Drosophila melanogaster: one gene and its partners. The protein of the gene in region 1 interacts with the protein of each later gene in a pairwise test. Each region holds a gene or a part of one and is shown in the gene's direction. Other genes may lie near its edges. The genes, in order: Ibf2, mRpL51, CG4622 and trsn.

Evidence for each region.
Region 2: the proteins of Ibf2 (region 1) and mRpL51 interact in a two-hybrid assay, tested with the Drosophila melanogaster proteins (one large-scale study listed by BioGRID).
Region 3: the proteins of Ibf2 (region 1) and CG4622 interact in a two-hybrid assay, tested with the Drosophila melanogaster proteins (one large-scale study listed by BioGRID).
Region 4: the proteins of Ibf2 (region 1) and trsn interact in a two-hybrid assay, tested with the Drosophila melanogaster proteins (one large-scale study listed by BioGRID).

The regions. Positions count from the first base shown.
Region 1 is NT_033777.3:9,255,718-9,263,243, reverse strand, and holds Ibf2 (insulator binding factor 2), read left to right. Parts: upstream 1-4,742; 5' UTR 4,743-4,803; coding exon 4,804-4,988; intron 4,989-5,055; coding exon 5,056-5,458; 3' UTR 5,459-5,517; downstream 5,518-7,526. Other genes in the region: sage (salivary gland-expressed bHLH), read left to right, coding at 1-169, 231-369; ATP6AP2 (ATPase H+ transporting accessory protein 2), read right to left, coding at 1,072-1,638, 1,901-2,253, 2,477-2,519; Ibf1 (insulator binding factor 1), read right to left, coding at 2,994-3,233, 3,288-3,476, 3,541-3,612, 3,903-3,990, 4,057-4,196; CG16736 (uncharacterized protein), read left to right, coding at 5,566-5,957, 6,078-6,519; CG16734 (uncharacterized protein), read right to left, coding at 6,532-6,657, 6,717-7,172, 7,229-7,384, 7,441-7,526.
Region 2 is NT_033779.5:8,514,178-8,521,879, reverse strand, and holds mRpL51 (mitochondrial ribosomal protein L51), read left to right. Parts: upstream 1-4,499; 5' UTR 4,500-4,587; coding exon 4,588-5,112; 3' UTR 5,113-5,127; downstream 5,128-7,702. Other genes in the region: Sgp (sgroppino), read right to left, coding at 268-418, 474-1,194, 1,288-1,798, 1,899-2,011, 2,088-2,163; Uba4 (Ubiquitin-like activating enzyme 4), read right to left, coding at 2,852-4,213; PIG-U (phosphatidylinositol glycan anchor biosynthesis class U), read right to left, coding at 5,265-5,518, 5,579-5,850, 5,913-6,537, 6,598-6,727; CG13097 (uncharacterized protein), read left to right, coding at 7,126-7,220, 7,288-7,702.
Region 3 is NT_033778.4:24,550,631-24,560,278, reverse strand, and holds the start of CG4622 (uncharacterized protein), read left to right. Parts: upstream 1-3,995; 5' UTR 3,996-4,132; coding exon of another isoform or gene 4,133-4,274; 5' UTR 4,275-4,336; intron 4,337-4,707; coding exon of another isoform or gene 4,708-4,925; intron 4,926-9,648. Other genes in the region: Nurf-38 (nucleosome remodeling factor - 38kD), read left to right, coding at 54-449, 505-656, 715-824, 1,147-1,178; ITP (Ion transport peptide), read right to left, coding at 4,133-4,274, 4,708-4,925. UniProt on the Drosophila melanogaster protein: Scaffolding subunit of the trimeric nuclear exosome targeting (NEXT) complex, a complex that directs a subset of non-coding short-lived RNAs for exosomal degradation. The RNA exosome is fundamental for the degradation of RNA in eukaryotic nuclei.
Region 4 is NT_033778.4:10,475,347-10,483,199, reverse strand, and holds trsn (translin), read left to right. Parts: upstream 1-3,088; 5' UTR 3,089-3,161; coding exon 3,162-3,236; intron 3,237-3,289; coding exon 3,290-3,377; intron 3,378-3,443; coding exon 3,444-3,540; intron 3,541-3,602; coding exon 3,603-3,718; intron 3,719-3,774; coding exon 3,775-4,106; 3' UTR 4,107-4,189; downstream 4,190-7,853. Other genes in the region: Pef (peflin), read right to left, coding at 1,611-1,837, 1,910-1,973, 2,031-2,110, 2,658-2,877, 2,937-2,945.

The DNA.
Region 1 (7,526 bases):
CCGCCTGGCGGGAGAAGGCGCTGCAAATGGAGAAGGACTATAGACGCACCGCCTGCGATCGGGAAAGAACCAGGATGCGGGACATGAACCGAGCCTTTGACTTACTGCGCTCCAAGCTACCCATATCCAAGCCAAATGGGAAAAAGTACTCCAAAATCGAGAGTTTGAGGTAAGTGAAAGTATCTGCGGTAGAGCTCTGTAATATATTTATATGATCTTTGCCTACCCAGGATTGCCATCAACTACATTAATCACCTGCAGGCCATGCTGCGGGAGAGCTCCGTGGGTCAAAATGGCAATGGATGCTGTGCCTGGAGCGGCGGAAGTAGTTCACCTTATGATAATGGCAACGATCATTGGGGAGCGTAACTTGAATTAACGAATATCAAAGGGAATTCATTTAAATATTCAATTTAAAACTTGTGTTATATTATATCCGCAATTTGCCAAAGTCATTCCATGAACCTATAAAAGTTAAGGTCCATACTTTACGATTTTGAGAAGAAAAAAATTGAAATAGCTTTCATTTTATATTAGTTTATCATGTTAACCTTTTTATAAGTGCAATAATTAAATAAATTATCAAGAATACCACGTATGATTTCAATTATCATTTGCCCCAAAAACTAGATAACAAAACCAGGCGCAACTTTGTCTTTTTAGGCTATATATATTTAACTTTACTTTTCAACACTTCACATTTTGATAATTTACATATGATGAATCGTTTGAAGAACTGACTGACTTGGCGAGTATGTTGTGCATATTCGTATATATATATAAACCTAAAAAGTACAACAAAACAGGAAAATGTAACAAATTTCTATGGAATTGTTGCGACGCCCGCAACTGCATTGAAAACTGAAAAGTTTTTTAATACTTATTTATAGATAATAAAACCAACTACTGCGACAGCTGTCCGCACACACACAAACACACAATTTATCCGCTGTTGGATTGAAGTAGAAGTTGGCAAATTTCAACTTAAAAGGGGGACGAAATAACAAAGCGTAACGCAAGCTCCTCTCGCTCCTCCTGCTCCTCTCGCTTCTCAACTCCTCCTGCTCCTCCTTAGTTGTCCTTCTTGATGCGGGTAGAGGTCATGCGGTAAATGATGGAGTCCCTGCCGGGATCCATGGCAGCGATGGCGTAGCAGATAGCCAGCAGAGACAGTCCGAAGACGACCATGAACCACAGGATGATGTTGAAGATCACCGGGTAGTCGCTGCCGTAGTAGACGGCCAGGTTGTAGGGATTGGTGGTGGAAGCGGCAATGGTATCACGCTTGGCACGCGATGCTGCCACGTCCTTCTCCGTGGTCTGGACAAACAGAACCGAGTCGCTGGACTTCTGGGAGGCAGCAAGCAGGCGGCTGATAGCGGCCGACAGCAATTTGTTGGCCTCCTCCACGGCCACGGACTTCTCGCCATGAGCCTTGGCCACTCCATCGACGGAAACGCGCAGCATCAGGACATTCGAGGGCTTGGCCATCTCAGCCAGATGATCGGCGGCACTGTTGATGAATCCAACCTCCTGGAGGAACTGCTTGTCAGCGGTGTGCAGAGAGGGGTTCAGGTGCTTGGTGGGCTTGGCGGCTGGGGCCTCGAAATCACCAAAGCAGGACTTCCAGGCTTGAACCTATAAAAAATATGTGGTTAAATATACATTGGTCTCTACGTTATATGCGTAAGGGGGAAGGCACTATGATTCACTCTATAAATCATGTGATTAATTAATTTTTAAGGTTTAATAACTATCTATCATATTTGTGGGAAGTTATAGCGGATTGTAGAGAAGCTTCTTTAAACGAACTTTCAGATGAAGATCATGCTTTCTGCGGTTTGACAAATTAGCTAACTGACTAACGAAATGTGCTTTTCCCCTTTAAGACACCACTTACGCCATCGTCGAACTGCTCAAAGTTAATATCGCAGACGGGCTCGTTGGCTGCCTCCAGTTCGGCGGCCAGGGCGTTCAGAGAGGCGTCCGTTCCGGAGCCTGTCAGCTCGTAGGTCTTGACGTTGCCGGCGGTGGTCACGTGACCAATGCCCTGGACATGCACCAGAATGACGCCCTTGGCCAGGTTGAAGGGATCGTTGATGGTCAGTCCGTTCCAGTTGGTATCGCCGCTGACGGCGTTGCCCATGGAAGCGTAGAGTACATCACCCACGTAGTGGCTTTCCAGTGCATCGTTGCCCTTGAAACTGATTGCCTTGGGACGGTTCAGCACGGTGAATTCGCCAGAGGCATTGACTGCAAAATAGGAAGACGTAGCTCATAAGTTCTGTAGAATCTAACATATTCGTCTCCTTTGTCCAAGATTCTGCGCATGCATGTGGGGAGCCCTTTGGAGTCCCGAGTTCTGGGTGTCACCACCCCCAAAGAGGAATCGATGAGTACAGAATATCCACTTTGTGACCGCTTTCCACTTGCTGCGCATGCATTTTACTTGATTATAGATGGTAGATCTACTTACTGGCCGCTATAAACAGCGAGAAAATCACGAAAACTCTCAACATTTTCAGTTTTCCGCTGGACTTTTAATCATATGACGAACGACTGCAAAGAAAACCTTTTCTCTTCCCCGATATCACCCTGACTATCATGTGATGAACAGGGTTGCTTGGGGTCAGTTATCGAATGGGTATCAGTAGGGTTGTCGAAGAGTGCGAACTATCGATTGTACTAGTATTTCTAGTTTTATTTATTATGTATTTTTATTTATTCAATAATTTTGATGTATGTAATATTTATGTATGTAAGCATTAGATTACATCGATTTTAATAACACTTGTAAGCATTGCATTATTACATTATTATTTAATAAAAAGATTCGAGTAATCAGGCTTAAAATAATGTATTTTGTAATCACCTTTACAAAGTTAAATGTAATAAATCTATGTTGAATTCAAGACAGACATTTTCGTCATCTTAACAAAAATTAAGGGTTCACCATGCGGACATTTAAAAGTTATCTATAGTTAAAATACATTTTAATCGCGTAGGGCGTCGATTTCCAATCGAAGCTTCTGAATCTTAAGCAAAGTCAGTGTGCGCTCTACTTTTAGATTGTCCGTTTCCGTTTTAAGAAACTTGGTCTTACTCTGGAACTGACTGATCTCGGCTCGCGCCTTTTCCGCTCGCAATGCAGCTAAACCATTTCTTGGCCTGGCCTCGATGATCGTCGCCGATCCATTGGCTAAGTCATCCGGGTTTTGCTGCAATATGTAATGCTGTTCGATAATCGTTAAAATGTCTAAGATACTTATCAAATTGTGAATATTTACTTCTTTGCTTTCGTCCAGGTACTCAGAGTATTCGGGATTTTTAATTTCAACGTTGGAAATTTCAAATTCCAAATTTTGCTCGCCAGACTCTTCCGTTTTGGTCAGTTTCCTTTTGCGAATTTCTCGTTTCACTCTGGGTTGCTCCTTGGGCGCCTCAGCCTCGTCAGCATCGTCCAGAATTTGTTGTATCTGGAATGAAAAATAACCATAATGTAAGTATTTGATTTAGTTTACGCATTTTTCACCTACTCACCTTAACAATGATCTCCTTGCCTTCGTTGGCATTATCCAGGCCGCCATCATCGTCGCCCGAAATCTTCTGGATCTGCATAAAAAATATATTTTAGAGCATTAGCGATATATAAGTAACATTTAATTTACATATGAATGTTCATATGAGACGATATGGGTTAGTAATTTCAAAAGTCAAATCATTAAGCACTATATATTGTATTCGGACAAAGTTCGAACCGAATATTTGTCAAATTACTTGGGGTTGACATTATAGTGTGCAAAGTATCTTTGGGATTTATTTTGAAGTGCATTTGTCCACTGACGTCCTACACCAGACATATACATACATCCAATGTATCCAAATTGGAAGCATCGAATTACCTTTATCCTAGGAGCCTCGTCATGATCCTTCTCGTCGGCAGAAGTGTACACTACAGCGCTTCTACTTCGCCGGGCATCGCAGGTTTGCCTACAATTTAATGAGAATTACTTGACGCATGTAAACACAATGTTTGGTGTATGTTTGTATGGTTACCTGTGTAACGATAGCCGGGATAGCGCCGTATTTTGGAGTACTTTTTCGCAGAAGTGACAGGTGGCCGAGTATTTGCCATTCTCCAAATTGGCGGTAAATCCGTGGGTTCTGTAAAAATCCTCGGACTTCTTTCGGGGCATTTTAAAATACAACAATCGCAGTAAATTCCAATGTACTATACACGATGCAAATAAAAATGGCTTCACTACAGATGCATGTAAAATCCACGCTTGCATACGATAGACATGTATCGACATATCGATAAAACCATTTTGATATTGATCAGTTCGATGCGTTTCTTTTAGTCAAAACGATATTTAATAAAGATCAGAAATAATTTTATATGTATATAACGGGTGAAGTAGTAAACTTTTAAAAGGATTTGCTTCTTAATTTTACTTATATGTATTTGTAATATATGAACGCCCTTCAATATAGTCTATTTTTTAAAGGTTCCACGCATATATTTTCAGATACATTCATGGTACTATTTACTGCCCGATTAATTAATCGTTAAATATACAAAGCTAAATATTAAACTTATTCTTTTCAAAAATTTGTTATTTATGACCCAGACAAAGTCATTTTTTACAATTCAGTCATTTCACAGATGATTCAAAAGTAAAAATATAATTAATATTCAAATGCAAGCGACCATCGATAGAATTCGATGGCATGTTATCGATACATCGGTTGAATTTACAGCAGCAACACTGTCACGTAATTTAACACAAACCGTATGTAAAAATGTCGCAAGCAAAAAAGGCCAAGCGACCCTCGGGCCTTTCGAAGGATGAAACTTGGAAGAAACTGGGCTTTCTACCCGCGTTCAAGGGCGGCAAGGATGGGGAGCCGAAGAAGTACCGAGCGCTGTGCACCCACTGTCGGAAATGCCAATCAAACACCAGCATAGACAGGCTGATTATCCATAGGTATGTATTATAATTTTTCCCGCTCATTTGCAAGTACAGTCCGTAAAATGTATGTATGTGGATACAGGAAGTCATGTCTCAAGTTCCGGGAGGATCTAACCGCTGAATTCGGTATTAAGGTGGAGGCTACGGACGCCGCTCCGGCAGAACAGAGCTCTTCCGGCTCCACAATTGACTTCACTTCGAATATTCTACTGGACAAACTGATCGACGAGGATGATAGCAGTGCACGCAATCAGGAATCCAACTTGGTGAGCTACTTGACCGATCTGGATCAACTGGTGATCCCGTCATCCGACGCCAATCGACTGCAGAAGGATCTGATCAAGGCGGAAACGGAGTATCTGGTGGTCAAATCCGAGTACTTTACCAAGATGAACGAGATATCCGAACTGAAACGCACCGTCACCTTGTTGGAGGCGAAAAAGACACAGCTGGAGATCGCCAAACTGCGTGCTGAATGCGAGTAGCCTAAGCTTTTTAAGTACACTACATTTTAAATTTCTTGAGAATATACAAATTTATTTAGATAATGAATAATAGTGATGCGGGGAGTTCGATTGAACAATTTATAAAGATGCCCGTCTACGTCGGCCTGCTGATTAAGACTACGGCCCAACTGTTGTCGCATCCCATGGAGCTAGTTCGTGTGAATATGCAGGCGAACGTAATCCACCATAGCCGTTTAAGCATAAACCATATGTTCCGGCTGATGGCCCGTCATGGATTACCCGGATTTTATTACGGCATTGTGGCTGCTTGTCTACGCTGTACTGTTCACACGATGTCAACGTACACGTTGTTCTACAACTTACAGGATAACAAGTACGTCCTAATGCTGCAGCCGTATAACACTAGCATGGTCCTGGGTATAACCGGATTTTGGGGCGGCGTATTGGCAACACCGTTCGCCAAGCTGGCGGTCATTCGGCAAGCTGATCTTACGCGCGGATCCTACGAGAGGCGCAAGTAAGAATATGGCCGAATAAACATAAATAGGCATTTTCCGGTTTAATTTTGAAACCAGCAAATATCTATATGTGTATCGTTTAATCTTCCAAAGCTATGAAAGTTAACCCTTTTTTGTAGCTATCGAAATTTCTGGAGAGGACTCAAATGTATGTACGCGAAGGGAGGATTTACTTACCTATTTACCGGTTGGAAAATAAACTCGATTAGTAGCACAGCCGTGGCCGTGCTGTATACTCCTATTAGTGATAAGGTCCATACAGTGATATCATGGTTCCACAGACTCGACGAGCCGTGGCTTAGCGATCTCATAACTATGGCGCTAACAGGCAGTATTATCACAGTCATTATGACACCAGTGGATGCGTTGGCTACTCTAACGTTAAACGAATCCTCACACTATGGCCGCACTTCCTATCCATATCTGTATCGGAAAATTATCCGAAAACATGGCTACAAGGGCTTCTTTTTTGGATGGAAACCGGCACTAATGGCCCTTATCCCACATACTGTTTTGGCAACGTTTGTATATCGCTTCTTACTAGATCGCTATATAACATAAAGACCCCCATATTTATTCACAAATCTTGTGGTGCACAATTGACAGAGCCTCCTTGAATTCTGATAGTTGGGCGGGCATTGTTTCGGTTATCCCGTTTTCCAGTTGGAAGCTAAAGACTTCGATGAACCGCGAAACGAGCTGGGAAAAAATTGATCTGTTAGATGTAACCAGAAATATATATAGACATAATAACATACTTTTAGAACTGGAGGTGCCTTCTCGTGGGCCACCAAACATTCCATTAACACAGCCACAAACTTCCCGTAAAACTCCGGCAGGTGCGGATGCAAAGCTTGCAGAGGAATAGGCATGATGCAAACCAGATAGCATCTTAGCAGTTGATCCAGTAAAGCAGTGCATACCTCGACACCTTGGAGCAGCTTGCTCGACTCCAGGACAAGCATTTGTAGGATGGCCTTGGCCCAACGATAGCTGGTGCTAACATTTAGAGCAAGGCATACGTCCCGACACGCTACCAATTTATCTGGTTCGCATATATCCATGGCCAAAGCAGTTTTCACATCGCTGCGATTGATGGTGAAGTAGTATCCTAATCGGATGATATACTGCAGCAGGCAGATTAAAACTTTTGGGCTGGAGGCCATTGTCACGTTCTGAATGAGGCGTTCCAGCATGTCGTCGCATTGGTTCCACTAAAGTTGCCATCATATTTATGTTCAGTAACTAGAGTAAGTTTCAAGGTACACACCGTGAAAGCATCTAGATCTACAAAGTGATCAAGACAGAAATACAGGCAGTTCCAAACAGATTCGATGGCTTCAATTGAGTCCATGTTGTAGACATCCTTGAGGGCATGGTCATAGATCACACTGTGCACGTTCAGTTCCTGAATGTCCTTGGAGTCCTGAAGGATGAAGTGTTTCATTGAAGGTCTTGGCGCTAAAGTGGTCTAACACGTACGCTAAATTTTAACATCACTGAGAAGATCTTGACCCCAAGTTGCTTGTAGATAGTATCATAGCATTCGCGCACATTAAGACCCACGG
Region 2 (7,702 bases), on another chromosome or scaffold:
GTAAAGGCGTTAGTCGTAATCGTGTAGGGTATTCGTAAAAATAACGGGATTTTATTTGCTTCAAAGTTTTGTTTTACAAACTAGAAATAAATTGAATTTTTTTAATTATTATAAAAAACGGTTAAGTGTAGAATGATACAATCGAATTACGCACGAGCATATAACTTTATTTTTGGCAATCGATACAATGAAAATCGTTATAAAATCGATCAAAAAAGGACCCCTAACAATCGGATGCCATATATGCATGTACATATGCACATTGGATTAAATACTTGGAAAATCGGCCACCGGAGACGGCAGGGTAACCTCAATGCTCCTAATGTAATTATTAGCAATTACACTGTACAAGATCCACACAATCTTTCCGAGAGCAAGGCAAAGTACAAGTTGAAGGGATCGATGCAATATGTAAAACCTGAAACAGCCATGGATGTTAGATAGAGCAACTATCGAATCTGAATTCTACGCACCTGAATAAACGCTTTTTCGCTTGTTCCAAGGTGTCCCAGGATTCCTTGTAAAGGAACACCCGCATTCCGGACAATATGCGAGTGAAGTACTCCTCCCAGTTAAGAGTGGCCATGTCAAAGGGAAATATACTCCTGTCCTCCGGCGACATTGAATCCCATAATTGATTGGTATTATTCATATCCATCTCGTACGTTTTTCCATTGAAGGGAAACAGAAGCAAAAGTACTTCGTGGATCTTTTGATAGCTCCTCATCAGAATAGGCTTTTTACCTTGGATACGTAGGAGGAGATCGAAGAAGAAACCAGGAATCAGATGATAAAATATGCAACCCAGCTTAAACAACCAAGGGCAGGTGGTAAAGTGGGCAAATGGATACCAAATCGTTTTGGTCACCGGAATCGTATGGTTATGATGGATGCCCAACTTGACCGCCTTCCCAAAGGTGATGGAATTTGACTTGGTTGTGGCGAGTGTATAAATGGGCGGCGGCTTCTTCGCCGCCAACTGAGAAGACGATCGCGATTCGGAATTCTTTGCCACCTGCCATCCGGAAGCCAGCGCCACGTTGGCACAATAGTCGCCAGGAACTATTATAGCATCGGCCTTAGGATTGACATACAAGAGGCGAAGGATCCCATATGTATTGCCGTATATCAAGGCTACGACTCCGTGAAGGTTGTCAATCCATCCAGACATCGGCTCCTTGAAATTTGCCAAAACTGCAAGGCACAAAGTTGATGATGTTAACTAATTATTTGACCTCAATCTTTGATTTCTTCTTTCTATTTGTCTGAGCCCACTAAATCACTTACTTATCGCAGGACGAAAGACGCAGATTGGCAGGTCCTGACCCTCCATCTGGATCACCTGCTCGGCCAGTGCCTTGGTATAGGTATAGGTGTTCGGAAACTTTCCCATAAGAGCCGGAGCCATCTTGTCCAACAAATCTGGGCTCAAAGTCTCGTTGAATTCGAGCACCTTGGCCGCCGGGCACGTTAGGTGCTCCGGATAGAAACGCTCCTCAATGTGCTGCGAGGGGCAGTTGGAGAAGGCCGTGGAGATGTGCACGAAGGCTTCCAAGCCTTTCATCTCCTTGGCCAGCTGAATCATCAGGCGCGTTGCACGCGTATTAATGTTCAAAGCCCTTTGAAGCGGCTCCACGAAGCGAATGGAGGCGGCACTGTGGATGATCACCTGCACATCAGCGGTCACCATCCTGCGATCCCCGTCGCTGAGACCCAGACCGGGTTCGCTGCAGTCTCCCGAAATGGGTGTGACCAACTTCAGAGCCTCCGGTTTAGCCTTGAGTAGGATTTTAAAAACCTGAAAAATATCAGCATTCAACCCGAATTAAAATCATACGAATATGGAAGTCACTATAGGATGGGCACCCACATCCTTATCATCATCTTCTTGGACTCACCGGCTCATCTTTCCAGGCCTGAAACCGTCCTTCCACCGTTTCATTCTTTTTTGGCCTTACTAATAGATAAACTCGCCTTACATCCGTTGAACGGAGGAGCTTTTCAATGATCACTGAAATTTGAATTTTAACATATTTTAGTTTTGAATTTATTATCTAGAGATATATGAACTTCTTATATAGCTTTACCTTTTCCTAGAAATCCTGTGCCTCCGGTTACAAAAACCGATTTGTCTTTGTAAAATTGCAATATGTCTGTCTGCATTTTGGATTAAAATGATATTGGTTCTGTCGGCTCGCCTACACCAATGAGCAGTGCTTTCACTATTTATTCCATTTATAATCGAATGCTAATGATCTTTTTGTGTCCACCAATGGTCTACAATTATTCAATCCATTTTGTATTTGATTACTTAATTCAAATACGAAGGTGGAAAACTGGTGGAACCGATCAGTTCGAAAGCATATTGTAAAGGTTAGTTTTCTTGAATGGAATTGAATTAAAAGGACATATAGAAAAAGTTTAATCTGACTTCCTGATTTTCCGAAGTAGTCTTATGATAGCATTATGTATTATGGGTCCTACAAGGAGTTTAAGCCGTTTTAAAAATAGTTAATTTTGTTATCCCTGCACCAATAATTATAGACTTCATATTCATAGTTTTACCCGTACGAAGACATGTATCTAAGGATATGCAAAGCATTTGTGTCCGTACTTTTCCATTTTTATAGGCACCCATTAGAGCCCGGAAGACATATGATTCCATTAAATTTATCAATATATTCAACGAAAGAAGACAGAATTGAATTATTCATTTTATTACACCAGCCTGGTATTTATGATAACAAGACATACGTAAGAGCTTAGGTAAAAAAAACCAAAAAACCAATGCATTGCAGGAGAAACAATGAATAAATCTACATATATAGTGGAACGTATATGTTTTGTCGGATTAGTATATGGGAAAACTGGGGTCTACACTGTTCGTCCAGGCATGCAGTCCGCCAATCAGGTCTCGAACGAAATGCGTGGGGAATCGGTTGCGCAAATGCTGAACGGCGATCTGCGAATCATTACCCCGACGGCAGACCAGTACGATGGGCAGTTCCTTGTCCTCCAATTGCTTGCCAAGCCGCTTAAGATAGCTGTCGTCGAGGATCTCTACCAGTGGCACATTCACAGCCTCGGGCAGCTGGCAAATCTCGAATTCTGCAGTTGGCCGCACATCGATAAGCAAATGTGGTTGAGCCTGGATCTTCTGTTGGTAGTCCTCCACGGACAAACGCTCATCCGTCGACAAAAGTAGCATGGGATTGTTCTTGTCGGTTGCATGCATACCGCAGAACATTTCGTAGTTGATTAGCTCCGTGATCAGCGGCTGAGCGGAACACATATGGCAGTTGGGTCGCTTGCTGCGTATGCGAATATTGCGAAACACGCCGCTACCGCCATCGAAGATTAGAAGGCGTCCGGCGAGGACATCTCCCATTCCCACAATCACCTTGATGGCCTCCAGAGCCTGCATTGCGCCAATTGTACCGGTGACAGCACCCAGGACTCCGCCATCTCCGCAATTGGTGACTGCTTCTGGCGGTGGAGGAACTGGGAAGATACACCTGTAGCAGGGCCCGTTGGCATAGTTGTATACAGTCAGCTGACCATCCATCTTTAGGGCACTCCCGGAGACAAGGGGTTTGCTCAGCATGACGCAGGCATCGCTGAGTAGATAACGGGTGGGCACATTATCGGTGCAGTCCAAAACCACGTCGTAGCCTCGGATGATGTGCATGGCGTTATGAGGGTACAGCATCCTGGAATGGCACTGAATCTCGCAGTGCGGATTCAGTTCGAGCAGTGCTATCCTCGCCGATTCAGCCTTGGACATACCACAACGGTCCTCGGAGTGCAGAATCTGGCGGTGAAAGTTGCTCCGCTCCACCTCGTCGTAGTCGACAAGCCCCAAGTGTCCGCATCCGGCTGCCGCCAAGTATTGCGCCGCCGGACATCCCAATCCGCCTAGGCCCACAATCAGGACAGAGCTGTTTTTCAGCTTTAATTGTCCCTGGACGCCGAAGTCGGGCAGTATAAGCTGGCGGCTGTAACGCGCAATATCGTCGTTGGTCAACTTCGTGTGGACTGCAACATCAGGCGATTCCAGATCATTTCCGACGACCTCCTGCTCTGGCCTTGTGGCGAAGGAAAACAAGGAATCCAATTCTCGCAGACACTGCTCCTTCTGGTTGAGCGCTGCGCGCAGCTCGGCGATCTCGCGCTTTAGCATGGTTCGCTCAGAATCTACCTCGGATTCCATCATTGTGCTGCTGGGGATGAATGTCCAATAAACAATTTCAAACAAATGCCTCTGACTGCAATCAGCTGATGAATGTCGATTACACTTACCGGCACTTTCGATTGCCCACTGATTCGATTACTTGTACACAGAGCAATACCTATAAAAAATTGTTTTACACCCCAAATTTATGAAGTGACACATATATAAAATTTCGGATACTTTTTACCGTAGCTACCAATTTGTATTCTCATATTCCTTGTACTAATTAGCTACAACAAATCACTACATTTTCCAACACTGCCGGCTTGCCAGCAAAAACAGATGTTCTGTTCGTGTTTTTTCACCCATTTCCAGGCACTGTTTACAATTATCTAATCGTTAATTAAAACATAGCCATGTCTTGGCTGGGAAGTATGATTCAAAAACTTGGCAGAGCCACGCTCCTTGCTGTGGGCGGAAAACCCTTGGCTCCGATGGCATCAACCAGCTACACCGTGCGGCAGTTATCCCATGCCGAGCGACGAGCACGCGGTCCCACTGTGCGGCGCTATGGATATGAGGACAAGATCTTCAAGAGCGGACTACTCCCCCATGTGGACAATGGACAGAAACTGCCGATGCCGGTGTATCGCCCAAAGAACGCCTGGTCAAAGAAACGTGCGTTGTTTGGCCAGAACGACTACATCGACATCCTGGGCAACGATCGTCTGCATCCAGTCAAGGTGCTCTACTCCCTGCCATCCTGGCTGCGTGGCGTCTCCGGCAATGAGTACCAGGTGCTTCTCCGCAAACGTAAGCTGCTCGAGAAGTCCAAGTATCCCATCGCCCGACCCACCAAGTGGCGGGAAATGGAGAAACGCATCCTCTACTTGTACAAGTTCCTCAACCGCAAGACGAAGACGGGCTATTCACATCAGTAAAAAACCATTACAATCAAATAAAATATTTTGTTTAATCTGATATTGTTCGGAGTTAACTTATCTTAAGAGTATGCTCGGCTGCCATTAGGAAGCGCATTCTGCATCTGTACAAAGTTCCTGGATTCTGTCCGTCATACTGATACTGTTAATGCTTACTTTAAGACTATCCTCGCTTCCTCGCCATCGATCAGAATCTTCTGACCATTGAACAAGCAGAACTCACGTTTAACGTGCGCGAACAGCAGATCGGTGATTAGAAATATCTGCCCAGTGGAAAACGCAAGAGTGGCACCGAAATAGAAATTGGCATTTGCCGATCCTGCATAGATCCACAAATGCCAAAGGGCTCCCATCATAGATAGAGTGACCAGGAAGAACGTAAAGACCACAAAGCCATGGGCCATGACTGAAAGAAATTACCAAAGTGCTTAGCAGTTGAAATAACTACGTGAGCCAGATAACTTACATTTCCAACATCTTTTCCACAGCGGAAGCAAGGCCAGATAAAAGCCGACATCGCCCAGGCTGGGATACGCCCTAAAAACGGCCATAAGGGCCACCAATACCGTGGCTAGCAGTAGGGGCTCCTTGCGCAGCTTAATACTTAGTGGCACCAGGTATAATACGGTGGCATTCAATTGGAATGTGATTAGGAACATGGTGCGGAAGTGCTCAAACATTTCAGTAAAAAAGTACCAGAAGAGACCGATATTTGGCTGTAGATCGCGGAAATAAAATCTGTAAGATAGTTAAATACGTAAAAATACAAACAGATAACTAATAAGATAGTTCTTGCTTACATAAAACCCAACGTTCCATCCAGGAAGTTCCAGCTGTTCAGCACAAAATAGTTCGCAACTGCCACGATTAGACAACTGACGATAAAGAGCGCCGCTATAGCCACACCCCTCCTGACCGAATTCCGTGAAAAGACCAGGAGCAGTGGTGCTATAAGTACAATGGGATAGAAGCTGCGGACAGTTTCGAACGCGAGGACTAGAAGGCATGGAATGAGCATTCCCTTCACGAGGCAGTAGAAAAAGAAAGCCAGGAACAGATTGCTTATCACGGTGGAGGTCATTCCAATGCAGCTCATAACAGTCAGTGGACTGAAAAGATATGCCACGATCACAAGTTCCGGAATGTCAAGCTTGTCCAGCGGGCCAAACTGCAGCTCTTCCGTATCCTTGGCATACTCCTTTCGCTCCTTGTCCTGCTGATCCTGCTTTTGCTTGACGAATCTCAGACTCATCGCATAAAGCAGGGCCGCCGTGCAGATATCCAGGATTATGTAGAATATCGGCAGAAACTGCGGGTATTTTTGAAACAATCCGGAGAGCGCGCTGAGTATCAGCGGCGATTCGTGTACCAGGTCGCCCAGATAGGGATCAATGCCACTCTGTAGAAGAAATATCCCCTCTTGCACTGCAAGAATAACTCCATTCAGACTTGTTCATCTATTTGATGTCTACTTTGTTTACTTACTGCGCTTGTGTGAATTTAAAGGTGTCGCGAACTCCACTCGGTTGCCAATCATCGGAGCCAGCGGCGTGCGACAGAAGTAGAAGCGCACGGCGCCGCCCAGCAGGAGCAGTTTAAAGAACTTCGAATCCATCTTCTAGTTGGGCATAGTTTTTGTGAACGGACTCCGCCTGTAAAAAGCCGCCTACAGCTGGCTTGGTGGTGGCAAAGGCCTTCGATAAATTATCGATTTCCTTGTCACGATATACGGCTTCTGGTCTACTGTGTAAGCAATTATGATTTTTTTTAGAGCTTTGTTTTCTTCAAGTTAAATATATTTATTATTTTTGGAATAACAAATTTTGGCTCAAAACAGGATTCCAACTCGCATAAAGTTTTTAAGCTTGGAAAAACTTGTACTTGTATCACGCGCTCATCTCTATGTATCTGTTCCATCTCTCACCAACTGGTTGTTGTTTTTGGACCCGCTCTTGCGCTCGAATTGTTGGAATATATATTTCATTTAATTAAGCACAGAAAGCAGTAGTAAAAATGATTGGAAGTAAAAAATCCAAGGAGGCGAATGTCTTCAAGGAAATCGCAGAGAACTTCGAGCAGCTGACCAAGAATCCAGAGCGTTTTCTCCAGTTTGTTTTCCTTCCAAAGACCGCGCACGTGTTTTTTCAAACGTAGTCAAAACAATTTATATTTCAGGCCACAGCCGGAACAAGTGAATGCCATCGAGCAGCTTATCCAGCAGACATACGCCGTTAGCATCAGCGAGGATGTGGCGAACAAGAAGGAACTGCTGCCGGAATTGGTGCTGGAGCAAATGGACGAGGAGCAGATCTGGCAGCAACTGGAGATTCGCAACGAACTAGTGTTCCAACAGGTGCTGGAGCAAACCGCCAGGCTGACGGCGATGCGCGAGCAGCACCTGGGCATTGAACTGGACGATGGTGAAGAAATAGAGGAAGAAGACGAAGTAATACAAGCTGAAGACTCAGGCGATGAGGAACAAGATGAGGAATCAGACTTCAGCGACGAGGATGGAGGGCTACAAAAGCAGAAGACCGCGCCGCCGAAAGACAAACGAAACAAGCGACTACGCAACTCTGTGGTGGACGAT
Region 3 (9,648 bases), on another chromosome or scaffold:
TCCCTAAGATTCATACTTCTGAATAATACAAAAATTGCATGTCTGACCCTTAGATTAGCTTGAAGACCCCTATGAATCCCATCAAGCAGGACATCAAGAAGGGTAAGCTGCGGTTCGTGGCCAACTGCTTCCCGCACAAGGGCTACATCTGGAACTACGGAGCCCTGCCCCAGACCTGGGAAAACCCCGACCACATCGAGCCCTCCACCGGCTGCAAGGGTGACAACGATCCCATCGATGTCATCGAGATTGGCTACCGAGTGGCTAAGCGCGGCGACGTGCTGAAGGTCAAGGTGCTGGGCACCATTGCCTTGATTGACGAGGGCGAAACCGACTGGAAGATAATCGCCATCGATGTGAACGATCCGTTGGCCTCGAAAGTCAATGATATCGCCGATGTGGACCAGTACTTCCCGGGTCTGCTTCGTGCCACCGTTGAGTGGTTCAAGGTGGGTGGAATTCGATTTTCGGACGATTCCCTCTCTTACCCTTTGCATTTCGCAGATCTACAAGATCCCCGATGGCAAGCCTGAGAATCAGTTTGCTTTCAACGGCGATGCCAAGAATGCGGACTTTGCCAACACCATCATTGCCGAGACCCACAAGTTCTGGCAGAACTTGGTGCACCAGAGCCCCGCATCCGGGTCCATCTCCACGTGGGTTAAATGCCATTTTATACATTTACAATTAATCCTAAGTACGTCCGTTTCGCAGCACCAACATCACCAACCGCAACTCGGAGCACGTCATTCCCAAGGAGGAGGCCGAGAAGATACTGGCCGAGGCCCCCGATGGCGGCCAGGTCGAGGAGGTGTCTGATACAGGTAAGGTTCACTATATTAGATCGAACTTATAGCTGCTTCACCCGATCCCAACCAAAAACACACTACTCCAACACACGCTTTAACCACCAGTAACTTGCAAACAAATTGGTTACACAAACACAACCTGCACGCTTACTAATAGCTACTTTAATTGTCCAGTTAGCAAGCTAAATTGAGATTACTCCATGCTGTAAATACTGCTGAAACCCAATTTATGTAATTGGCTTGCTTGCGTTCGTTAATCGTTGTACATATACTTTATACTGAATGTTATCCTGAAATAAACCCTTTTTATACCAATTTACGTCCTTTGTAATTGCAGTCGACACTTGGCATTTCATTCATCTCAAGTGAGATGTTCTCCTGGGCTGATTCCATCACAAGATCCATGATCTATCTGTAGTCCAATCGAATCGAAAATGCTTGCACTTGTGAATTATTAATACTGAAATATTATCGTACGTTGAATAAAGTTTTGCACCGCAATCAAATTCGCTGTCGATTCCTCTTGAAATATACAATCTTTATTTATATTTTACGACTAGATCCAAACAAGTTTAAATTAATTAAAAGTTATGTAATTGTAAGGCATTGCAATACTACATAGAATCGAATCGAATTATGCCGTGTGGTGTTGCTCAGATGTGATTTCCGTTCTATTGCAGGAGAGCATGTGTGGGAAGGTGTGGAACGTAAAATTTATTGCCGTAACAAATTAACTTAAGCTTACGAAATAAAAGAAATGTACAAATCAGTTAGGCGTTATAAATATGTATAGAAATCTTTAAAAGAAGACAAAAATAGTTATATACATCAGACATTTTGATTCTTGTTCGTTTGTTCGTTCGTTTTTTTGTTTGCTTGTTTTTTTTTTGTTTGTTTCTTCTCATATTTGATTCTTGGCATAACTTTTTGCTTTCCTTCTGCGCGAAGAACTAAAAGAAATAAGCATAATTTACGTAATTCACTACAACTAAAAGCTCCACGAGACTGTTTCATGACAGATGATAGAAATAACATATAGACCAATTTAGACTTTCCGATATAAGTGCGGATAAGTAGCGTGTAATAGTTTAGTAATTGTCTTCATAATTTTTTTTTCAACATTTTTGCTCTGCTTTCTCTTGTAGCTAGATGTTAGCTTAGTTGTTTCTTCAAGTGGTACACATTCCTCGGGTCGATCGTTTCCTGGTTGCCATAGTTTCGTGCCGTGTTCTGCCACAGTTATCAATAATAATAGTTTTAGTTAATAGTTCATAGAATTAAGTAGCTGCTCGTGCCAGTGACGGTGCCAGAAAATCCCAGAGAATCGCACTTTACTTGCGACCCAGGGTATCGCGCCATTCGTTATACTTGTCCATCTCCTCGTGCAGCTGAAGAGCCTCTATGCAGGCGTTGAAGAAGGGCGATCCGAAGCATTCTTGCCTGTGTTCAAAAACAAAAGGAGGAGGAGGAATTAGGAAACCTGATTTTTTTTAATTTGGTGTATAGCTTGCTCAGAAGAAAAAAGAGCCAAAGTTCAAAAGCCATATTCAGGTATGGTTGAATATATCACAAAAATTATTGTTCTCAAAATCTTGTTCTGTTTGTTTGCTCAAAAAATACGAGCTCAACAGTTCGAGGATTATTGAGGAATTTAACAAAAAGTAAAGCATAGTTGGTCAAATTTTTAGCTTGAGTGCTAGTTAAAAGCCAAGAATGCACAAGGTCAAAAATCAAATAATTAATTAAAAACAAAAGAAAATTATAACGTACCAAAACAAAAACGGTAAGCAGGCGTTTTTAGTCGCGCCAGAAACGCGCGCAAATCGCCAGCTGCAGTCTGTCTGTCTCTGTCGCCTTCTGTATGGCGGTCTCTTTCTCTGGCGGTGTCCTGCGTCGCGCATTCGCATTCTAATTCTCATTTATCACAATTTTGATGCTCTCAAATAGCCAGCGAATGATTGATTATCCTTTATTAATTTACAGGGTTTTATTAATTATGTATTATTTATTGCCACATTTGTAATGCAGTCGTTCCGTTCTTCGCGTGTTTTTACCAGGTTTTTGTTTGTGTCTTGCACAAATTGCGATCTTGCGTTTCTCTCTAATATTTAGCATGTGTGTAGGGTACTCGTATTCGGATATATGTAAGGCTTTAGCTTTAGATAGGTATGCATATACTATATACTATATAGGTAAATACATATCTCCGTTTTGCGCCAACAGATTTACACTAATTCAGGGTTTCATCTTTACAAAATAGCACAAAATTGTAAGTGTAATACATTTGCAAAATACTTTCGGTCTCGATTGCGGTGTATATATGTGTGTGTGTGAGTGTGTGTGTATGTGTGTATGTGTGTATGTGTGTGTTCGTATGGGTTTATCTTTATCATTGTAGTTTTGCCCTTGCGGAAAATCGTGTAAAATGTAAACTCTAAATGCTGATTTTACAGTAGAATACAGATACAAAAATAAAAGTTATCATTTTACATTACATAGATTAAAAACAATGGATTTCGTTTTGTTTATTTTATATACAAACCGCATAACGCAATAATAATAAAACAAGCTAAGAATACTTAAAAATAAATACTTCGGCTTCTATGTATATGTGGGGAGTGCGAGATCTGCGATCCTCCTCCTGCACATCATCATCATCATCATCTGATCATCATCATCGCCCATCTCCCACTCCCCAATTATGTTACTTACAACAAACGCATAACGTTCTCAATAAATTAATAAAAATAATTCGTTTTTAAAAAAACACATATAGTAAAAACTGTAAGGCATACAGTAATAAATAAGTACGAATTAAATTTGGGCGTTTTAATATTTTAGATTTCTGTGTTCTGGCTCTGCATGTGTGGTCGTAGTGGGACTGTTTCTCGATCTGGATCTGGATCTATATCTGGATGCGGATGCTCGTTCCAACCCACGATATTCGCACCGATTCTCAGCTGTGTGTGGTGTGTGTTGTTTGTTGTGTGCTGTATGGTGTATGGTGTGTTGGGGCTGTGGGTGTGTGGGGCGGGGACTTAGAGTTATGTTTGCGGCCCCATGTTGAAGGATATGGGCGAGCCGTTCACTACTCTCAGAAAGTGCTGTAGGTTGGATATTTCCTCTTCGGGTATTAACAGCACTTTCAGGCATTCGCCAAACCATTTTGAATCAAAGCAGTCTTTCCTAAAATTGAAAACGAAAATCAAAATGAAACACAACGGTAAAGGTAACTGAAGGCAGTAAGAAATCAGGAAAATGAAGTCGTTGCGGAAACGAAAGCGGAAACGGAAGTGGAAACGAAAGTGGTCGAAGTTAGGAGTCTAGTGGTAGATGGGCTTGTGAAACGGATAGGGTGATCCGTTGATCACTTTCAGATAGTGCTGCAGCTGCGATATCTCTTCATCGTCGATCAGCAGCACCTTTAGGCAATCCCCGAAGGTCTCGTGGACGAAACAATTGGCCCTGCATCGAATAGACAAGAAACACAGATGTAGGACTCGCACAGAGGGAAGTCAAACGAAAAGGTGATAAACTTATTACTACAATATTTAAGTGACTATAGGGTGAAACAAAAAGAGAGAGAGAGAGATATAGACCAAATGGAAGAAACCAAATAGGCAGCGGTCTCTGTGCGAGAAAGTCGAGGAGAAAGTAGCGGGGAAAGCGGGCCCATAAAGTTCAGAAACAACCGAAGGTCCCGCGATCATTTTCCGATACCCCGACAATTGTATTTGTGTCAGGGTCTGCCAGCACTTAAGATCATAATTAGTGTTTCTTGGACGGCCTTGCCTTGAACGCTGTAAGGAACACTGATGCTGCTTTGTGGTTTTGTTAGATATTTGTATGTATGTATGTGTACGTATGGCTGGGGCTGTGGGACCCTAGGGAAACTTACTTGCATAATCGGTGTATACTCGTCTCGCGGAACAACTGGTAGCAGTCCTCGCAGATGCGGTCCAGTCGGAAGAACATGGTCTTGTTGAAGATGCCCTTGCACTCCAGGTCGAAGAAGTTGCTGCGCTTCGACAGATTGTGGTTGTGTGGCAAGGCGGCGAAGATTGGTATCAGGACAAGAAACAGCACCACCGAGATCTTTATGTTGCGGGAACACATCTGCAAAAGTGTGGGAAACCGGAAACACGGTTAAGAATAGATGCCTATTTATAGGTGCGATCAGATTAATTAACTGCCCGGACCACCTCTCTGGCCAAGCAGATGTGGGCCAACCCAGCACGATGTCGGCCCAGCTCCACGCCGCCGCCAAAGGACAGGGGCAAGGGCAGCTCTCGCCCAGGTGGCATCGATCTGCTGCTCGATCCGCATCGCGGATGGGCAGGAGGACGGCGGAGACCCTATAAATAGACCTCGTCCGACAGCCGTCTACCGACTGGCTAAAAATAGGGCCCCCATCCCCATCCCCATGTCCATGCCCATGCCATTCTCCACCCAAAGGTGCAATTGCAATAGTGGCAACAGTTGCAGTCGGTGCCGCAGACGATCTTATCGCAGGAGCGCTCTATAAATAGCACCGGCGATTTCAATGTTTATTGCATTATTTGCCATCTGTCGGCGGGCTTAATTTATGATGTAAGTCCGCCCCGCCCCGCCCTCGTCTTTGGCGGCTCAAAGGAGAGCCAATTTGCGAACGGACGCAGACGCGGACGGGCCCCCAAAACATGGGCATTTGTTTACTTTGCATATTTTATCAATTTGCGCGCCCGCCGGGAATTACAGCGATGACAGCGATATATATATGAATATATATATATATATATCTATGCACTCGCATTTGTGGCATTCCGAACTATTGAATAATTTGATTAACAGCGCGCTTTTCGCAAATTTTTCCACTGCGCGCTGTGCCAATTGGCCGTTTGTGTGAACATGTGTGAAATTCCTTCGACCCCGGGTGAAAAATTGAAATGCTGAATGAAAACCAGGCAGACACGACGACGTCGGCTATTTCGAGAGCAATTTCGAGAGTATCAGCAACATGAAAGCGAATTTGTGCCGATAATGATTTAAACACATATAATCGCTAACGAATATACTCGTATTGTTTTAGCGAACGACTCTGAGGATCTGCGCAAATTGATTTTTTATTGCCGTGCTGATGTCTTCAATTAAGTTGAGCACATTTTTTCGCAGATTTATGGCCGCGAGATGGGAAAACACCGAAATGGAAATGGGTATGGGAAGGGGAATGGGGCATTTGGGGGGACTGCCAATTGGAATCGGAATTCTGAGAAAGTTCATCAGTCGGTCGCCGAAATATTCATATATTTATATGAATACTATGAATACTATTCGCGATAAGTGAGGCTTCTCGCTTAAAAGTATGCTCCACCAAGGGGTCTTTATTTGATATATTTTTGGTTGATGATATCAAGGGCTCGCTCATGTGTCGTCATACTTAATTACTGCGGTCTCGTGTGACAAAACAAATGTTTTTAAGCAATCACATATTTTTGTAGTGAATATAAATAACTCATCCCAGGCCATCGGTCGTCATTGTTTAGTACTTAGTGTCGAAAGTATATATAAATCAAGAGTAATACATCCATCTGTCGTCATAGTCAATTGCTCGCTGTACTATCGCCAACTATTGTAACATTATGACTTCAACTTGCTGGAAGGTAGAATAAGCTCCAGACAAATGAACCCTACTATCCCTACCTGCGAGTGGTGGGCACAAAGAGTGCAAGTTGTGGTCGGGTGGGGAACCCTTTGCACTCAATGCACATGTAGCACTCGTTTAGTCAGAGATCCCGACGACGTTTCAGTGCAAAGTGCAACAGCTTGCGTACGGCGACTCAGCTCGGCTCGATTTCCCCGATGGATTCGGATTCGGATTCGGATTTGGATTTGGCTGCTGGCTGTGGGCTGAGCATCTGGTGATAATTGGCTTCGAGTTGCACGATTTATGGCATCATCGTCGCTGCAGGCGGCTATTTTTAACGCTCTTTGCCGGCGTGAGTGCCATAATTGATATGCGAACCGCGTTGAAGATAATGTAACATGGACCGCGAAAAGGGGCTTCAGTATCGCAGAAGAAGGCGAGGGAAAGTTGGAGGAGCGGTTGAATGGATGATCCGGGGCGACTGGGCCGATCGATCGAATGGCGTCATCGTCGCAGGAAGGAGCCAATGAACGGCGTCATATTTGATCGATCTCCGATCTGAAGTGCTGCTCATATAGCTGCTCCTCCGATCCGGCGACATGTGCTGGCAATTTGTTTGCATTTCACTTTGATTAGCTGCCAATTGATTTTATTTGTCGGCCGGCGCTTTGCATCAATTTCAATTCGAGTCGCAAGCGCGTCGCACATACTCGTACAAGCCATCCCATTATTTGACTATCTATGTGTCCGTGTGCTCCATATGCTATATACGCTATATACACCCCTGATTCATTGGAGCGGGGCGCACGCACGCCCCTCGATTCCCAATTGGCATCTCGCTAATGCTGTTGTTGATTGCCGCTTGATTGTACACCATTCAACTGAGATTTGATTGCTGTTTTCGCCGATGTTTTACTGTCGCGCTGCTGCCAGGCGACATTGAATGAAGTCATGAGCCAAAAATAATTATGCCAATTATGACGGACAGACGGACGATGCCTTCTTTTTGCGCAATAGTTTATAATTATTGTGGCCGCTGCGGAATTCGGATGGCGCGGCATATGGTCTATATGGTTTATAGCGAAAGGGCACACTGCGATTCTTGAGTTTATTATGTGATATTATGAGGTACGTGTATGCGTGCTAAGCCGCATTTCAAGGTCGACCCCTTTGGGCGGATTTCCATCCACAATGGGAAACGAGCTATTAATAGAAAAGGCGCTCTTATCAGTTCCCCGTAAAATCGCCGCGGTATGTTGGAAGTGTTATCGTCGAAATCCCCATGCATTATGTGGATTATAAAGTTGCCTACAAAGCTGTGCATTCCCCGCCAGATATGCCCGACTGGGATGTGTGGCACCACCACCTCCATCTGCACTAGTGCCACTGGTGCCTCCACTGTGAGTCTTAACGCTTGGCTACGCAAGCATGGCGGAGCCGAGAGCCCAAACATGAAACACAGGCCCCTCGCTATTTTTTACGGCGCAACTAAAAAGTGCTTGGACACGCAAAAACAACACCACTGGCGGCAGAAGAACGCCGAGGAGCGTGTATAAACTAAACACTCATGACGAGACTGCTTGGTACCAGCCACTACATCTGAGCACTCGTATATGTACGCATGCTGAACTGGCTGGCACATCGGTGCTGTGTCTGCGCGGATCTCCAAGCGCTGCTGCTGCTAATTCGATGGACATGCAGGAGTCCCAGTCCCGGGCCCAATTTGCATGATGTTTGTATTCGATTAATATTCATGTATTCATGAAATCTGCACCGAATCTGCGAAACAGGAAAGGCGCAGTGGAAAACCGAGACCGCGTCTTGGTGGCCGGTTGAAGCCAGTGTGCACTGAAGAAAACGCTTCCTAAATCTTCCGCAGACACAAATCGCACGTCATCCAAATAAATCTTCGCTGCATCACATGACTGCTATTTCACTTAGCTTAGATAGAAAAAGAAAAACAATACGCGTATCTTGCCTTTCCATGATTATGCATTTACCAGAAATATTACCAGATTATTAGTTTATTGATGTTATTCAACTATCTAAATTTGAGGAAATAAGTTTAAAAAACTTTGCGTTGCACCCCCAAAATCCCTTCTTTTCCAAAACGATTTCCCCTTCGCGCAACTTTACGTTCTCCCCACTCACAGTGAATGCTGCCATTGCAGCGATTCTATGGCTTCCGTCCGCGGGCCGACCGGCGCGGGATGAGGAGGGCATGGCTCAGAGATCGGAGCCAAGTGATCTGAATAAGTGTGTGGATATCCAATTGATATTATTGAGGTTAATGGCGAATGGCCGATCCGTTTCGCAACAGATCTCGGCGTCTGCCAAAAGGCAATTGGCCGCACTTGGCGCACTTGGCCCGCTTGCCGCGCGTTTTTCTTAAGACTGGGGCAAACAATCGCGGTGTTTGGACAGCGATGACACAAGCGAGTCGTCAAACAGCACGAGATACTCCAACCGTGGAGCCAAAGCGAAATAAAGGGTGGAACACGAAACGGGAGCGACGCGCGAGCAATCAACTTTTGTTGGCAGCTCCAAAACAAAACTGAAGACCGCGCGCGATCTGTTGGCTGTTGGGGCTGACTACTTCGGCTACTACCGCTTGGCTTATCAGGCGGCCCACACAGATACTCACGCACACAGCCGGGCACAGCCGACGACAGCGAGTCTGGCGAAAAGGTATCTGTATCTGGCTAGCGCTCGAGTATCTGTATCCGAGAGATCGCAGCGTTGAGAGCGCGAGTGGAACACCCAGGCGTATACGTGATGTGCATGCTTAACACGCGGCCAAGACAGCAAAAGCCGTTAAGAAAAAATCAGTGGAGAGCGGCACTTGTCCTGGCACGCCGATGGAATATCTAATCGCCATTACTAAACTAGTTTGGCCCCGCCTCACCCAGGTTGCGCCTTTCCACGCCACCACCCCCCCCCCCCCTGAATTAATCAGCCATAAAAACGAGTGGCTGCAACTAAATTTTCCACCTTGCAGTGGAATTTTCTCAGCCGATTCTATCTGGCTAAAAAGAGTTCAGCCACAAGTGACTAAGCGGCCGAGTTAATTGTCATAAGTGAAGTAATTTCCGCAAGTTCTTTGAATAAATTGGCCCGCCGAGTTGTTTTGTTGTTTTTATGGCGCCTTATAATCTCGATTGTTAAGGCATCTTGAGGAATTCGTTGCATACATTTGGGGGTTTCCTGGGGAGTTGT
Region 4 (7,853 bases), on another chromosome or scaffold:
TCCGGCGCCACGAGAATGTCGAGTGTGGCGGCAAGGAGCCATCGCATCAGTGTCCCTACTGCCCCTACAAGTCGAAACAGCGCGGCAATCTCGGTGTCCATGTGAGGAAGCACCACACCGATCTGCCCCAGCTGCCCAGCAAGAGGAGATCGAAGTACTCGATGAATCGCGAAAACGGGATGAGCGGCTCCATGTCCGATGACTCGCAGGGCAAGCTGATCATCGACTTCAATGGGAAGGGAGAGCTTGAAACCAAATAAATTTGTACGGGGACCGAGTGATGCTTCCATTTGATATACAATATATTTTACGTCTGGTGTCTTGTTTTGTCCATTGGATTTGTGGAAATTTATTTCTTGTCATTCATGTGTCATCCCAAATATTTAATGTTTACTTGTAGTAATTTATGTAATGTAAGCAAATGCAAGCCAATCTAATCAAGCATATAATCAAATTAGTCTTAAAGCCTTTTTTCTAACGATGCATTTATGCGTTAAAGCATCAGTTAATATCTCTTAAATTGTATAAAATGATCATTCACCAAATGTCAATTTTATACTTACGATTAAGTGTGCAAAATATTATCAAACAACACTCAAATATTTTCTAAGGTCTCTACTATTTAAGATATCACGATGTTGTCCAGAAAAAAAGTATTTAGAAAGGGTTCGCCTCGCCGTGTGCGTATTTCCAAAAAGTTCCCAGCATCTTGCCCAGAAACCCTCTGCCATCCAACGATCTCTTGACTTGGCTTGATTAAGCTACTAAGACCAAAACTTTTGGTAACTACTCGATAAGCTCAATCGATGCCATTTACAATGATATACATTATGACTGAATTAGTTAAGAGAATTGCATTGAACTGACAACTGAACAAACCATTAATTAACCAATTGAAAACCAACTATTCCTCGCCCTGAAGACATTCGTTTCATATATTTATGGACTTTAAGACTGAGTTTATTGTATCTTAAAAATTATTAACCCATGACCAAAAAAAAAACAAAAAAATTGGAACATTGTACGATTCCCAAACCAAAAACCAAACACTTATTATGCCTAAATGTTTTAACTGATATTAATGTTTGTATCTTACCATTAAGCTTGTGTGCCGTCACATTGAATCGCCCGATATTTTATGATTGTATACTTAATAAGATTATAATTCCTAACTGCATATCACGTGGTCTTCACCGATCGACGAAGACACGATTACGAACTGTGGGCAGTGTGACTGCTAAAATAAGACATGATTTTATAATGAACTTTTCATATACAATGTTTACATTTTAAATAAAACGCAGATATCTTTTAATTTTTAAAAATACGTGTGTATAGTTTATTATTAGGCGCAAGAGACTTTGTACTATGATTATTGAGTCGAACTGCGTTAACAAATACTTTTGAAATTTGATTCTGATACCAGGAGATTGCAATATGACTGTGGAGTGATTCATTTACATATTAAAAAGCTAACACCGTTGAAAATTTAAGAAAAATGCACCAGTCGCGAAATTTATGATCATCCACTGTTGGCTGTAGTGTGTGTGTGTGTGTGTGCAAGACTGTGGAGATGCATTCCCATGGAGCGGTTGCATTGAATCATTCTTTCAATACGAGCAGCCAATGGCCACGGTGAGGAAGTCCTCGAACCCAATGGTGATGGTTCCATTCTGCTGGGTGTCGCGCTGCCTGAAGGCCTCCGTGAAACGCTGCACCTGCACGCAGAGCACTATGAACTGATCCACGGACACCTCTTTGTGGCCCTGGGGGTCGCTCTTCTTCACCAGGAAGTTTATGAATTCGGGCGAGAATCGAAAGCCCATCTGGGTGAAGGCTGCCAACAAGTTTGGTAATTAGTGTAAAAGGCCATAAAGGAATTGGAGATTCAGTTGTTGTGTTAGCTTACCTTGGGTCAGCTCCTGTTCCTCGATATGTCCAGAGGAGTCCTGATCGTAGGTCTTGAAGACTTGCTGCAACAGTGATACAATGAGTCAGACTACTTAGTTTCGATATAAGAAATACCTTACCAGCCATTGGTTGATGTAGTTGTAGAGCTTCTCGAACTCATAGATATCGATGGTACCACTGGCGTCGTTGTCGAACATGCCTGTTGAGTAAATTAAAAAAGGCGATAAAAATACAACATAAATCGCAGGGTAAACAAACGGAAAAGTGTCTGGCGCTCCAGGTGATCTAAACAAATATGCATGTACCCTAAATTGGGGCAATAAATACAGTGAAACATTTATAGCCGAAAGTATAACTAAATTGATACTGACTGTCTGTTAGGGGAGTACTGACGTCACAGTTTCCGGAAGGGGAATCGAAGGAATTTTAAAGTATTTCATAACTGAAGCTTACTTAGCTATCATCAGCTCACAGGATGATCTAAATATATGTGCCCATGTGCCCTTCATTGGTTCTTGGCATACAGCGGGTGTGCTAGGCTACGCATAGAAGATTCAAATCGACAACCTGTTCTTGTGTTCTTGTGTTACTATATTGCCTACCAAACTAGTTTAGCTTATGATCGTCTTTTAGAGGGTCTACTGTATAGTATACAGTGTATACACGTTTGTTAGTGTTCACCTACTGACGTCACAGTTCCTGTAGAGGAAACTTTGGGATCTTTTTTGGGCAGGGCTTAAGCTTACTTATCATCAGCTTGCAGGCATTATCCGAGAAGTGATCGCCACGCCCATTCACCAGGGCCGCCTGCAACTCGGAAGCGTTTATCTTTCCAGATCGGTCGCGGTCCACCATGGAGAACCATTGCTGTGCCTGCGGAGACACCTGGGCATTCTGCGGCGGAAATGCTCCTGGCGGCGGGGCATAGCCACCACCGGGCTGGGCATACGGGTTATAGCCTTGTCCCTGTGGATAAACGGTAGTAAGTACATTTAATCCACTTTCTTAAGCATAAACACACTCACATAAGACATTTTGTCACGAGCCTAGTTCGATTCTAATTGGAACTTGAGGGACAAAACAATTTTAATGAAACTACAGATGACAAGAAGGGCGTTCACCAACACTGGTTTGGGCAAGCGATAACAATGTGACATATCGATAGCATTGCTAGACTTATTGCTTGGCTATACTCCCATCCCTATCGCCGGTATAAACAACTAACAAAAGCAGCAAAACATTAAGCAAAAATGTCGAACTTCGTGAACTTGGACATCTTCTCCAACTACCAAAAGTACATAGACAATGAACAGGAAGTCAGGGAGGTGAGTTGACGGTTAATATCCTAAAAACCACCATCTTAAACCATTGTTTTTAGAACATCCGCATTGTGGTGCGCGAAATCGAGCATTTGTCAAAGGAAGCGCAGATTAAACTGCAGATTATTCATAGCGATTTGAGCCAGAGTAAGTTCTGTACAATTTGGTAGCTTGTATGTTTTGTTCTAATATGACATTATACTTGAACAATAGTTAGTGCCGCCTGCGGCTTAGCCCGCAAACAGGTTGAGCTGTGTGCCCAAAAGTACCAGAAATTGGCCGAACTGGTGCCAGCTGGGCAGTACTACAGGTGAGTCAGATGGTGAAATCCGTGGTGTCTATTGTGGGTGTCGAATGCTCCGCCTTCTCCAGATACTCCGATCACTGGACCTTCATTACGCAGCGTTTGATCTTCATCATTGCCTTGGTTATTTACCTGGAGGCGGGCTTCTTGGTCACCCGCGAAACAGTGGCCGAAATGCTGGGATGTAAGCTAGATTTGGAAGGCTCTCTGGATACGAAATAATAGTTAATTACTCCACAGTGAAGATCAGCCAGTCTGAGGGCTTCCATCTGGATGTGGAGGACTATCTACTGGGCATACTGCAGTTGGCGTCGGAGCTCTCCCGATTCGCTACCAATTCCGTCACCATGGGCGACTACGAGCGTCCCCTGAATATCTCCCATTTTATTGGTGACCTGAACACGGGCTTCCGTCTGCTGAACCTGAAGAACGATGGCTTGCGAAAGCGCTTCGATGCCTTAAAGTATGATGTCAAGAAGATCGAGGAGGTCGTCTACGATGTCAGCATACGCGGTCTGTCCAGCAAGGAAAAGGACCAGCAGGAGGAGCCGGCTGTTCCTGCAACCGAATAGTTTACTTCGTACGTAGGATAAGGCGTTTATTAAAATGAAAAAGTTTCATTTAAACAAGCAAATATATTACATTCATTAAACAGAGTATCATTTTATTTTACTATTTAAATCAGGAATGCTCGTAGGAATCAAATGTAGCAGGATATATGTATGTAATCCTGTGTTAAAAATCTGAAATGTGTTTTTGTTTTTTTTCAGAACACATTTCTTTACATCTTAATAGGCACCATCTTATTTTAATGATCAGTTTACACAGAAGCGAAATAGTGCTTTGAACCATAACAAAAAAACATAAGTTTGTGCAACTTAAAGGTAATTAAAATGGCTGTGCGCGTTTTGATTAAATCATAACTAAGTATACATAGAGACAAGTGCAGAAGTTTGATGGCTTAACCCTTTTGAAACTTGTTTAGCCACCACCACTGGGCCGCAGTTGTTGTTGTTGCCCCGATCATATGGTGGATTTGTTGCTGCTCTTCTTTGGCCGCTGCTTCCGTTTCGCCTTTGCTTCTGCTTCTCAGGCGCAGTTTCAGTCTCTCTTTTGCCACCGCAACGCTTACAACGTTAACATTGCGCGCGCGTCTTTGCATTTTCTTGTTTGCTGCTTCGTCGTCCGTCGTCCTTCCCGTGTTGTTCTTATTGTTTTTTCCCGCTTTGTGCGCTCTTTATTGTTTCGCCCTTTCTAGCATTTTGATTTGAAAGTGGAGACTGCAATTGGTTACCATTTCAAGAAAGTAAGTCTGGCGGGCAGTTGGCCGTGTGAAAAGTCCGTTGGCCCAGAAACTCACCCGCTCTCTTGACCACGCCCCCTTTTCCGTCCCCGGCCCGAAAAAAAAGCTAAAAACTGAGAGACTCCAACCTGTTTGGCAATAATTGGGTCACAAATCTGGTAAAAACTTGTTGCCCGAAATGGTCACTAAACAAATAGCACTGTTTTTATTACAAAACTTTAGTTGAGTCTGCAGTTGCCTTGTTGTTGTTTGTTTGTTTTAATTTTTTTATTTCGTTCCGCAGACATAGTTGTTGTTTGGTGTTTTTCAAAACACGCTTTAATCGAAGCGGTTCAAAGTCCGAAACAAGTTTCCTGAGAGGCTTAACGGGGCACGCTCTCTCCTTGTTGCTCTTTCCCCTCTTCTTACAACGCACTGAGTGGGAGGAGAGCGAGAAATACTGAGAGAGCTTTCGACGTAAACATCTGAAAAGCAAAACCACAACAGACACCCACACACTGACGGGCAGGTGTTGCTCTCTGCGTCTCTCTTTCTTCCTACCCCCATTCCAACTTTCTTGCATTCTCATTTCGAAGGGAAAATGCCAAGGAAAAGCCCAGCCGCAAACCAACAACAAAAAGTCAATATAATAAACCCAGAATCCGAGTGCTAACTGTTATGGAAAGTAGCGAAACCATTAGCTATGGACCTCCTTCATTGAGTGTTTTGCTTGCATACCCGGCAATTAAAGACTTGCAGGGTATGTGTATTTTCAATACATCAAAAAACAAAAAATAATATATAGAATATATTTTAGTATCGAAAAAGATTTAAAAAAAATTGAAAAATTTTAAAATACGCCCTAATATTAGTTGTATTCCTCAAAGTCATATTTTTTTGAGTATCGTCTACTGTAAGTATTCAATTAGTAGTGGGTATGTCTTGAGACAAAATCATTTTAGTAAGTTTGCTTGTTTATTTCGCATGGTAATTACACGTTTATAGAACTATTAACCTGCATTGAATATGGTTGTCAAATAAAAATATTAGGTATACCTTGTTATGACCGCTTTTAACGACCACACTCAACCAATAGTGTGTTACGTTTTTAAGTGTCGCAGTACTTCAGAAATGTTCACAGCACTTTTAGTTCAATAACTCATGTGAATCCATGTAATAGTGGATATCTTGTAGTCGAGTATCTCAAAGATACCCCGCTCGCTTTATCAATTTTCGTTGCGCTGGCCGCGGCAGCTGTGAATGATTTGCAAGGGGTCCCAGCGCAACTGGTTCCCAGCGCCTTTGTGCTGCCCCTCGGAACCCGACCCTCCAGAGCCACCAATACCTCGATCGTACCGCTCTCGTTAGACATGCGTGGCTGGCTGCCTCTGTCGTTCGCAGTCGCCGCACATTTCAAGTTTGCTACGGTTCAAAGTCCAAACCCAAGATACAAATACCAGCACCAGCAGCACCATTTCGTTTTCATCGCAGTGGTTATTTTAAATCGAAATTCTCCAATCTGGGCACACTTTCGATGGGGGGGGGGGGGGGGTTACGAAGATCCCGGTCGTGCGATAAGCAGACGACATTTATGCCAGGTAGACACTTCCAACGCGTCACCGATTGCACTAGGTTATTCTGACAGCAATCACCTCTTATCGGAACCGCGTGCTCGAGCAATCCTTATCAGACCACCGAAATTGCGTACCACTGGAGTTCTCACAGGCCCCCCGCCACTGCGATTATTGGACTTTCAACAATAAATAGTGAGCGATAGGTTTTATCGCCTCCCTCAATTGTTGCTTATCCCCGCCACCTCATTGGCCCGTTTTCGGTTATAGAATCAGATCGTACATATGTACATACATATATTTAAGACTTGTTTTTCAGCTGGTTTATCAAGTAAGCTGGCTAACCATAGTGATGTAACAGCGATAAGAACAGGTGTGGAGAGCCCATCTTCAGATCTCAAGTTGCTTACCTAAACCGCATGCCGATAAAGTGCCATCTGCGCAGAGGTCAGAGTCCACTTGCCGAATTTTAAAGCCTAATCTTTATGATATGAACTCTGATATTACCAAATCGCGCCGTCTGCAATCTCGAATATGAGTTATTTATGTTTTGTTTTTTTTTTTATAGCACAGCGAAAGATATATGGGATAAGCACCAAATACAATCTTATTTTATCATGCCCTTTAGACTTGAAAGGAATCTTATCAACTTACAGCTGTGTATGTAGATTTAAAATACTAAGTGAAATCTAAGTGAATTGTTACCCCTGTTTATTGTCATTATGTATTGAGCGAGGCAAACTAGAATGCTAAGTATATTATAGTATATGTGTTCATAGGCTCTCCACCTTAGTTTTGACAAGAAATATAAACGACTTTACATAATTGTAATATATATCTTTCGAATCTTGATAAGCCGACTGATAGGCGACCTAGATTCTTAGAAATTTGTCTAGCCACGTCGAAAAAGTTGAATTTTAAAAAACGCATTATCGAGGCTAACTGCGCATACCCCTCAAACGATGAGTACACCCATCTTATATACACACTTGTAGGTGTTTATTGGACCCAATCACATATCCATTTCGCCACAAGATAAGGCCCAATCGATCTGAAGAGAGCGAATTCCCGGAATATCGCCGGTCAATACACTCCACACGGGCACACACCCCCCACCACACACTCCACTTTTCGACGAGCCTCTCGACTGGTGACGCATCCATACCAATACCATACTATACCATACTATATCATACAATACCAAACTCTACCATACAATGTACCATACCAAAAGCACAATCGACTGTGGGCTATACTCGTAGTATCTCCGTCTCGGCGCTCCGCTCCGAGTGCTTTTAAGACCCTAGCGAACCCGTTGTGCTCACAGTCGATTCAGTCAACGCTCGGCGTCCAACCGATCAAGTCGCTTTATAAGAAGGGGGATCCGAAGCATCCCCAGTGGGAATTTCTCGTGTGTGCATCTGGCCTAGGATTTCGCAATTGTCATCTACCTATTCCCTCTCCCT